2 linked regions of the Oryzias latipes genome follow. The protein of the gene in region 1 interacts with the protein of each later gene in a pairwise test. Links are inferred from orthologs where the notes say so. Each region holds a gene or a part of one and is shown on either strand. Other genes may lie near its edges.

Region 1 (4,340 bases):
AAAACACTTAATAAAAAAAACTAAGGCTGCACGATATGAGGAAAACTTGCGAAATGCGATATAAGTGATCAATATGGTGATAACAATATAATTTGCGGTCTATAAACAAATAGAAAAATAACCAAAAACATTATTCCCATTTCATTGCAACAGTTTAAAAATTATACTCCAAATGACCCTCATCGACATCGGTGACAATCGTCTAACATATTAGGCCTCCATCTGATTGGTAAACAATGGGTAGGCGTCCATCTGATTGGTCAAAACATAAAGGGATTTATTTGATGGGTTAAATGCTTCAAGCTGCCATAAGATTGTTTTAACACATTTTGGGTTTACGATTTATTGCGATATTCACCGTCTTTCGCGATATGCATATTGCAGAGCTGGCTATTGCGATAACGATAAATTTGCGGTATATTGTGCAGGCCTAAAAAAAACCTTTATTAAGGCAACTTGTTTCTTTGCTTCAGCTTACACCAATGAATCCTCTGTAAAACTAAATAAATAAGTAAATAGATTTTTAGGTAAAACAAACAAAAATAAACAACTTGGAGTTGCAAAAAAGGACAAACAAATGCATCAGAGAAATGATAAGTCTTCTATCAAACAAAAACCCATGTACTCATTAGTATAACTTAGTAGCAGGACTTTATGTAACTGTGGCCTATGTGTCTGAACTCAAACATGGGAGTTCAACTGTTTTTGCCCCTTTTTTTTGGGCACAAAAATAAGCAATCTTGTGTAAGTGTGCAATAATACATGTTTAGGAAAGATTCAAACAAATGGGATCTTAACTAAACAATGGTGGGACTGTAATGAGTCATTTTATGATGCATTTTAGCCACCTGAAGCTCAGAAGACACAGAGCTGCCCCGGTCTGAGTCTTTGGGTAAAACAGGACTGGCTGGATCCTCTTCATCTGAAGACATCTGGGCAGCAGAAAAGCAACAGAGAATAACAAGAAAAGAATGAAACTTCTCATTAAAGCAGAAAAAAGCGAGATAAAAATCACCGATTCCCATAGATGAGATGTGATAAGCAATGTTAACTTCATAAATACATATAAAGATATTTTAACTTAAGCTCTTAAGACATGGCGTCCACATTGTGTGGGCATCACATATTACCAGAGTATCTTTCTATCTGCTTGACTGGGGTCCTGTGACTACGTGTGTAGAGGGTTAGCTCAATATAGCTCGAGTCAGTCTTAAGGTTAAACAAGATGTTTTCGAACATGATCGGCGCCAATTCGTATAATCCAGACTGAGGCTATAATAAACGTCACGAAATTAAAATTGGAGAAAAGTTACATGCTTATCAAAGTAAACAATTTTATTATGTCTGTTACGATAAAATTCAAATAAGGTAGTATTTTTGCAGCTTACTTAACTCAGTTGACCTTTCAATATTGTCAAGATTTATAATTGATCTAACAAACCCTGGCATAACGCTAAAGCATCCCAACTGTGTTAAGCTAATTCGACAACTGTGGGACACATTCACACAGCACCGGAGGACGTACATTATTTTATAGCAGCAGATTAAAAAAAATAGCAATAAAACTAAAGTCTACACAAACTTACTGTGTGCAAAAAAATCTTCGTAAAATTCCAATTTCCACCTACTCGGTTTCACGTTAGCAGCCAGTTGGAAAGTGCTGGCCTAGCCTTTTGAAATAGAGTGACACTCAAAGAACACGCCTGCTGATTGGTTTCTGTTGTGGACTCACCTTGTAACGTCGTTCATGGTTGGTCCAGTTGTTTCCATGGCAACGGAACTTTTGAAAAGACGCGTGTTCCTGTTGCAGTTAAAGGAAACCCAGCAAAACAAAATTTTAGTAAAAGTCCAATTTGAAACGAAGACTATAAATACATTTGTTTAAAACAGGACAAAATAAAATAAAAAAAATAATTAAAAACAAAATAAATAAAATAAAATAAAATAAAAGTAAGACTTTAGGTCTTTGACAATGTAATAATATTTTTTTTCAGGGTCTCCAGAACCTACAGAGCATATGTCCCTTTATTAATCCTGTGAACATTTCCGTTGTTTTTCATGTTATTCATTACCCATTCAAAGAAAACGAAAAGGCTTACAAATACAATTTAAGCCATTACCTGTACACACCTGTCAATGGTTTAAATCTGGAGTCTCAAACTCACAACCCATACACCAACCTTGCAACTTGCTATTAAAAAAAAAATCCGCCTTTTCTAGGTTTTGTCTTGTTTATTCTGTATTTTTTCATCACTTAAAAGTGTTTTGTAAATGAAATGATCCATGATCAATATCATGGCAGCAACAGCAAAAAAGTTGATTGTTTTAAAATTAGCCAAAGAAGTAGAGCTCTAATGCTGCAAGAATTACAGTTACTACAGTTGCTCTACATATATTGAATGTGTCATGTGGGACTAAAGTGTGGGAGATAAAGTCACAGAGATTAGGCAAGCGAAGAAAAAGTTGCAGCATCAAAGAGAATTATCTTATATTGATTATTGAGGTATTGTCTGCCCAAATAATTGTAAATAGGTATTTATACTATTTAAAGTTATTGAAATAGGAAAATGAGCAACAGTTCTGTCACAAAACTCTCCAGAGAAGTAGCTTTTTAATGGTTGAAGGGCTTCAATTTGATTTAAGAATCCATAGAATAAGAAGATCAGAACCTACCATTTGCCATTTTGGGTTTTACAATCTCTCTAATGAAAACATTTTTTTTGGACATACATGTCCTTTTTTTAACATTTAGAACAGTAATGTGGCAGAGGTGGCCACTGGCTCATTAGAAATAGAACCCCTTGTGGCACAGCAGTCCCAGCAGTTTGGCAGTGCTCTGACAGACTCTGGAGAGAAGAGACATATGGTCCTTCTCAGGCAAGACAGAGCTATGAGGAGGAGAAGAATTGGACATCAGCCTCACCACCTGGACTGAGTTCTTCCTTGTCCAAGGAGGTCCCATCAGCGCTGTCATGAGATCTACTTGCTGATTACAGAAACAGAGCAGTTAAAAGATGGTAATACAAAGTTTTTCATTAAAAATAGACAGTGTGGCAAAAAAGTATTTAGTCAGCCACCAATGGTGCAAGTTCTCCCACTTAAAAAGACGAGAGAGGCCTGTATATTCAATTATAGGTATACCTTACCTATTAGAGAAAAAAAACGAGAAAAAATGAAAAGAAAATCACACTGTCTGATTTTTAAAGAATTTATTTATAAATTATGGTGGAAAATAAGTATGTGGTCCCAAACAAGCATGATTACTGGCTCTTACAGACCTTTAAAAGTCTTCTGTGAGAGGCTCCTCTGTCCTCCACTCGTTACATGTATTAATGACACCTGTATAAACTCGTCATCTATGTAAGAGACACCTGTCCACAGCCTCAAACAGTCACACTCCAAACTCCACTATGACCAAAGAGCTAAAGACACCAGAAACCAAATTGTTGACCTGCACCAGGCTGGGAAGACTGAATCTGCAATAGGTAAGCAGCTTGGTGTGAAGAAATCAACTCTGGGAGCAATTATTAGGAAATAGAAGACATACAAGACCACTGATAATCTCCCTTCATCTGCGGCTCTCCGCAAGATCTCACCCTGTGGGGTCAAAATGATCACAAGAACAGTGAGCAAAAATCCCAGAACCACATGGGGGGACCTAGTGAATGACCTGCCGAGAGCTGGAACCATAGTAATAAAGGCTACCATCAGCAACACACTACGCTGCCAGGGACTCAAATCCTGCAGCACCAGACATGTCCCCCTGCTAAAGCCAGTACATGTGTACAGCCCGTCTAAAGTTGGCTACAGAGCATTTGAATGATCCAGAAGAGGATTGGGAGAATTAAACCAAAATTACCAAAAACCTTTTGGTAAGAACTCTATTTGTCGAGTTTGGAGGAGAAAGAATGCTGAGTTGCATCTAAAGAACACCATAACTACTTTAAAGCATGGGGGTGGTGCTTTGGGGTTGTTTTTCAGCAAAGGGACCAGGACGACTGATCAGTGTAAAGAAAAGAATGAATGGGACCATGTATGGTCAGATTTTGAGGGAAAGCCACTTTCCATCAGCAAGGTCATTGAAGATAAGACATGGCTGGATCTTTCAGAATGACAACAACTCCAAACACACTACCCGGGTAATGAAGGAATCGGTTTGATAGAAGCATTTCAAGGTCCTGCAGTAGCCTAGCCAGTGTCCAGATCTCTCCCCATAGAAAATATTTGGAGGGAGTTGAGAGTCTGTGTTGCACAGCGACAGCCCCAAAACATCACTGCTCTAGAGGAGATCTGCATGGAGGAATGGGCCAAACTACCAGCAAAAGTTTGTGAAAACCTTC
Region 2 (4,461 bases), on another chromosome or scaffold:
AACACTCTTTATTTTATGAAAAATAAATAAAACACTCACACAAACAGTTCAAAAGTCAAGATCGACTTAAATCTTGATCTTTACAGAAAGTCAGTCCAGTTTTTACTGTTGGAAAGTCTTCTCATGTCCAGCGGGATTCAGACTCACGGGCTCTGAGGGGGCGTCCACTGGCTCTGTGGAGAAACGTCTGGGTCCAGCTCAGAAGGCGTTCCGGGCTCCTCCTCAGGAGTCTGCGGTCATGATGGCGAGGAACTCCTCCTGGTTTACTGAGGAAACACCGGTCTGCTCAGACTCTCAAGGCCTGTTCACACCGGGACGAATTTCGTCGGCGAAACGCCTCGTGACTAAACAAAGGGCACCAACGAGAGTGTGCACACCGACGCGAAAAAACGCCATGCGTTAAAGCGTCAAAAAAAAAAAACGCCTCGGGTTCGTTTTTTTTTTTTCGACGCGTCGCATCGAAATCTATTCGACCAATGAGAATGGCGCTTTTGCTCACGTGTCTGGAGCTTCTGAAGTTACAGTAAAACACAACTTGGGGGCGCTCAAACACAAAACTGCCTTGCTGAGCACACATACCAGCGAAGAAGATAGACGCCAAGTAGCGTCTACACAGCCGCGAAGCAATAATGACGGACATTCTAAAATATCCCCGAACCAAGCACCAGTTGGAGCTACTGATGCTTGAAATATTAATGTTTTCTTTGTTTGATTCTGACAAGCGTGTAAATACTTGCTCTCTTCTTCTGAGTGAAAAGCGACTTTAAGAAGCGTAAAGTTGCGCAGCGCCACCTTGTGTACAGGAGTATTTCTGTTTACATTAAGCGCCATCTAATGTCAGGGAATGAAATTGCATGTTCGCTCGGCTCATCGTCAGCGAAAATCGCCTGGGTGTGAACACAAAAAACGTGGAGAAAAACGCTGGCGAATAACGCCTGGCGAATATTCGTCCCGGTGTGTACGGGCCTTCGGGTCGCTAAAACTCTGGAACAGGTCAGCTGAGGAAACCGTGAGGGGAGGAGCCGCGCTCTCCGCCCAATCACCGGCGACCTCGGAGCGGGAACGCCAGAACCTTCCTGCCATGGAGGTCAGAGAGCGATGGGATTTCTAAAGCAGGAGCCGCACCGGGAGAAGAGCGGTCCACCTACGATCAGGAGGTCGCAGGTTTATGCGTTGAAGTGACCTTGAGCGAGAGACTGAACCCCCACCTTGCCCCTCTGTTGTCATGGCAGCTCTGCCGCCTTCAGAGTGACCTTAAAACGCGTTAGACCTGCATAAGAGCTACATAAGTACAGGCTGTTGACCCTCATCTCCGCGGCAACGACAGAACACGTGTCATCCGGTGAAGGGGGCGTGGCTTTAACCTGAGCGAATGCAGACTTACTCTCTCCGTCTCTGTCGGTGTCGAACTCGTCGATCATGCTGCGCAGCTCTTCGTCGTTGATGTCCTCGCCGAGCTCTCGGGCGACCCTCCTCAGGTTCCTCAGGCTGATCCTCCCGGACTCGTCGTCGTCGAACAGCTTGAAGGCCTTCAGGACCTCCTCCTTCGGGTCCCGCTCCAGGATGCGGTCCGTCACTGCGGGCAGACGCGTTTCAGGGCGGCTCCTCGTCGCCTGGCTCTGAGGAAGAGGAGGCCAGTGACTCACCTACTTCACTGAAGTCCTCAAAGGTGATCTTCCTGTTCCCGTCTCTGTCGTAGTCCTTCAGGATCTTCAGGACGTCCATCTTCTTCACTTCAAAGCCCAGGGCGCGCATCGCCACCTGGTGGGACCGTGACAGATGACACCTTTGGTCTCGTTTCCACGGTTTCCATCCGATCCGCCGCCGCTCACCTTCAGCTCGTGATAATCGATCTGTCGGTCCTTGTCCGTGTCAAACAGGTCGAAGGCCTCCTTGACCTCGTGCTTCTGCTCCTCGGTGAGCTCCCTCCTCTTATTAGGCTTGTTTTTGTCGGCCTGGTCGGTTCTGCGGAGCAAAACCAGAGTCACAGATTCTCCCTGTGACCACAAACCAGAGCTTGAACCTCGCCGTTCAACCGTGAAGGATGGACGAAGACAAAAAAACAAGAGTTTGAACATCTTCATCAGTCAGGAACAGACATGAAGGCAGGAGAAGACTGACGGCAAACTCTGAGCCGAGAGAGAAACCTGCTTCAACCAACTCAGAGATCTCCGATCAGATTTGAGCCAATAAGAACCCAGACCCATTTAGTCTTATCGTAGTATTTGACCACAAACCACAGAATCCTATTTCTGATATTTTTCTGTCACATTGACGTCACAACAGGTTTATTTGGAGAACCTTTGACCAAATATGGTGGAAAAACAAACGTTATTTCAAAATAAAAGAACTCATTCCCCGAAACGAGCTTTTGGTCCCGGAAAGTCCAAATCAGGTGAAATATTATCTACCGAGGACAGAACCTGAGAGGTCACAGAATTTCGGTGCAACGTCTTCAGCCAAGCTCAGATTGATTCAGAGACAGCTCCACCGAACCGAACCCTTTGACAGACACACATTTGGACCGTTTGGACCGACGCAGCCCTTTGACCGAGTCTCCGGTCAACAAGCTCTGAATGTTTGAGGCAAACGGGCGACATGCTAACGTCGGCTAACAAGGCGAGAGAACCGGAAATGACGTCACCGTAAAAGCTGCGATCCTCACCTCAGAGACAGACTCATTGCGATCGAATTGCAGATCCAAACGCGAAGATTTCACTTCCAAGGAACGGCTACTGTCGCTCAACGAGCAAAAACAAACCCCGCGTGTCCGCGCTCAGATCCGAGGTCCTCATTGGTCGGTGGTCTCTAGGCAACAGCAAGGCGCTCGCTTAGTGGCGCTCTGTTTTTTTTTCTTCGGGAGCAAACTGAACCCAAGCGGGACACCAGCGCCCCCTGCTGTCGTCTGTCATTGCTACATCTGCTAATACTGACGCTGGAATCCTTTTCAAAGTCAAATAAAATGTAGAAAAACTTTAAATAGAAAATCAGTTTGTGATTCACAAAAGAATAATCCAGATAACTTTAAGACACATTCCGGCCATCTTTTGATCTATTTCCCTTCCTGTGGACAGTTTTACAGGACAGTTTCTGCAGATCCACAGGAGTTCATCAGAGGTTCTCCTCTGAGTTGTGGCCATTGGCACACAGTAAGCCTGTCTAATTTCCCATGATTCCTTTGTTTACACTCTTTCCTGCTATCTAACAGCCCCCCCCCCAACCCCCCCAACATTACTGGTGCAACAAAAATGGCAGCCTCATCAGATCCGTCCATTCGTCCAGTTCAGACTCCAGCTCAGACCAGGAAAACAGAGATGTTTATGGATCTATTTGTCTGACAGTGAATGCATCGGAATGGAGCGCAGCACGGAGCTTGTGGCACCGCCCAGCACATTTTTTTCTTTTTTAAACTGCATTTTTTTAGTCTGCTCCTGATTCACAACAAATGAAAATTTGCGCTTAATTTTCTTCATACATGGTCCTCCATCATCAAGAACATGTTAAAAACACCTAAATATTAGACTTTGTCCTCCAACAGTTCAGCACACCCTTTATTTGTTGTAACTTGTTACTCTGAACTGATGACAAGTTTTCCTCATAAACATTGGTCAACGGTCCTGTTATGTCTGATGTCTGTCTGTCAACATTAAAGGCATGTAACCCATAATGGTCCTGGCTTGTTGAACAGTCGTCCTTCTCTCTGGAATCCTGCCGGAGGTTTCTACCCTCTGGAAATGCTTGGAGCATTTCCCGAGGGTCTTTGTGCCCCCACCCCTGATTTGGGCTTTGTCTCAGTTTTATCAGGGATTTCCCATGGTGCTCCGGGATGAAGGTGCCGCCCGGTCTCGGCTCACGTCGGGGCGTTTCCTGTGTCACATGTGTCATCCTAGATAACGCCTGAGTGAAAAACCATGTCGCCTCAGGAGAGATTCAAGCTCAGCAGAGTCTAAGTCAGAAAAAAATACAAAAAAACAGGTGGTAACAACAACAACAGGCAGTAGTTTGTGACGGAATGAAAATAACAGCATAAAAAAAACTCCTCCTGATGAATTTCCTACTGGAGCCTCTGAAGTTTCACTGCGATGATTGACTGGAGGAGGATTCTGGAGGCAGAACATTCTCCTTTCTGTTCAGCTGAAGGAGGATCTGTGTTTGATTTCCAGCCAGCCCTCCTGTTTTTACCCCCCACCCCACCCCCAACTCAGTCTGAGAATTCATGGGGGGGGGGGGGCACAGGTATTTAGCCAGCGTCATAGAGGAGGCTTTCTAAAGAACCCAAAGGGATGTGTGCACGTGTGCAGGCGTGCACGTATACAGGTGTGCACATTTAGCAGTGGGGGGGGGGGGGGGTAAGGTTCAGGCTCAGAAAGCAGCATCTTTATTTGCTCAAACCCACTTTCTAGAACCAAATCAAACTGAAAGAGTCAGAGAACGTTTTCACTTTTTAAAAAACCTGAAGAA

The links.
Region 2: the proteins of poc5 (region 1) and cetn3 interact in binary tests that used the Homo sapiens proteins (3 or more experiments, as listed by UniProt). The link is inferred for Oryzias latipes from reciprocal best matches to the Homo sapiens genes POC5 and CETN3.

What each region holds. Positions count from the first base shown.
Region 1 is NC_019867.2:14,007,184-14,011,523, forward strand, and holds the start of poc5 (centrosomal protein POC5), read right to left. Parts: upstream 2,978-4,340; 5' UTR 2,975-2,977; coding exon 2,924-2,974; intron 1,802-2,923; coding exon 1,733-1,801; intron 1,706-1,732; exon of another isoform or gene 1,587-1,705; intron 933-1,586; coding exon 849-932; intron 1-848. UniProt on the Homo sapiens protein: Essential for the assembly of the distal half of centrioles, required for centriole elongation. Acts as a negative regulator of centriole elongation.
Region 2 is NC_019870.2:1,965,690-1,970,150, reverse strand, and holds the start of cetn3 (centrin-3), read right to left. Parts: upstream 2,832-4,461; 5' UTR 2,683-2,831; coding exon 2,666-2,682; intron 1,966-2,665; coding exon 1,833-1,965; intron 1,762-1,832; coding exon 1,647-1,761; intron 1,577-1,646; coding exon 1,385-1,576; intron 267-1,384; coding exon 223-266; 3' UTR 1-222. UniProt on the Homo sapiens protein: Plays a fundamental role in microtubule-organizing center structure and function. As a component of the TREX-2 complex, involved in the export of mRNAs to the cytoplasm through the nuclear pores.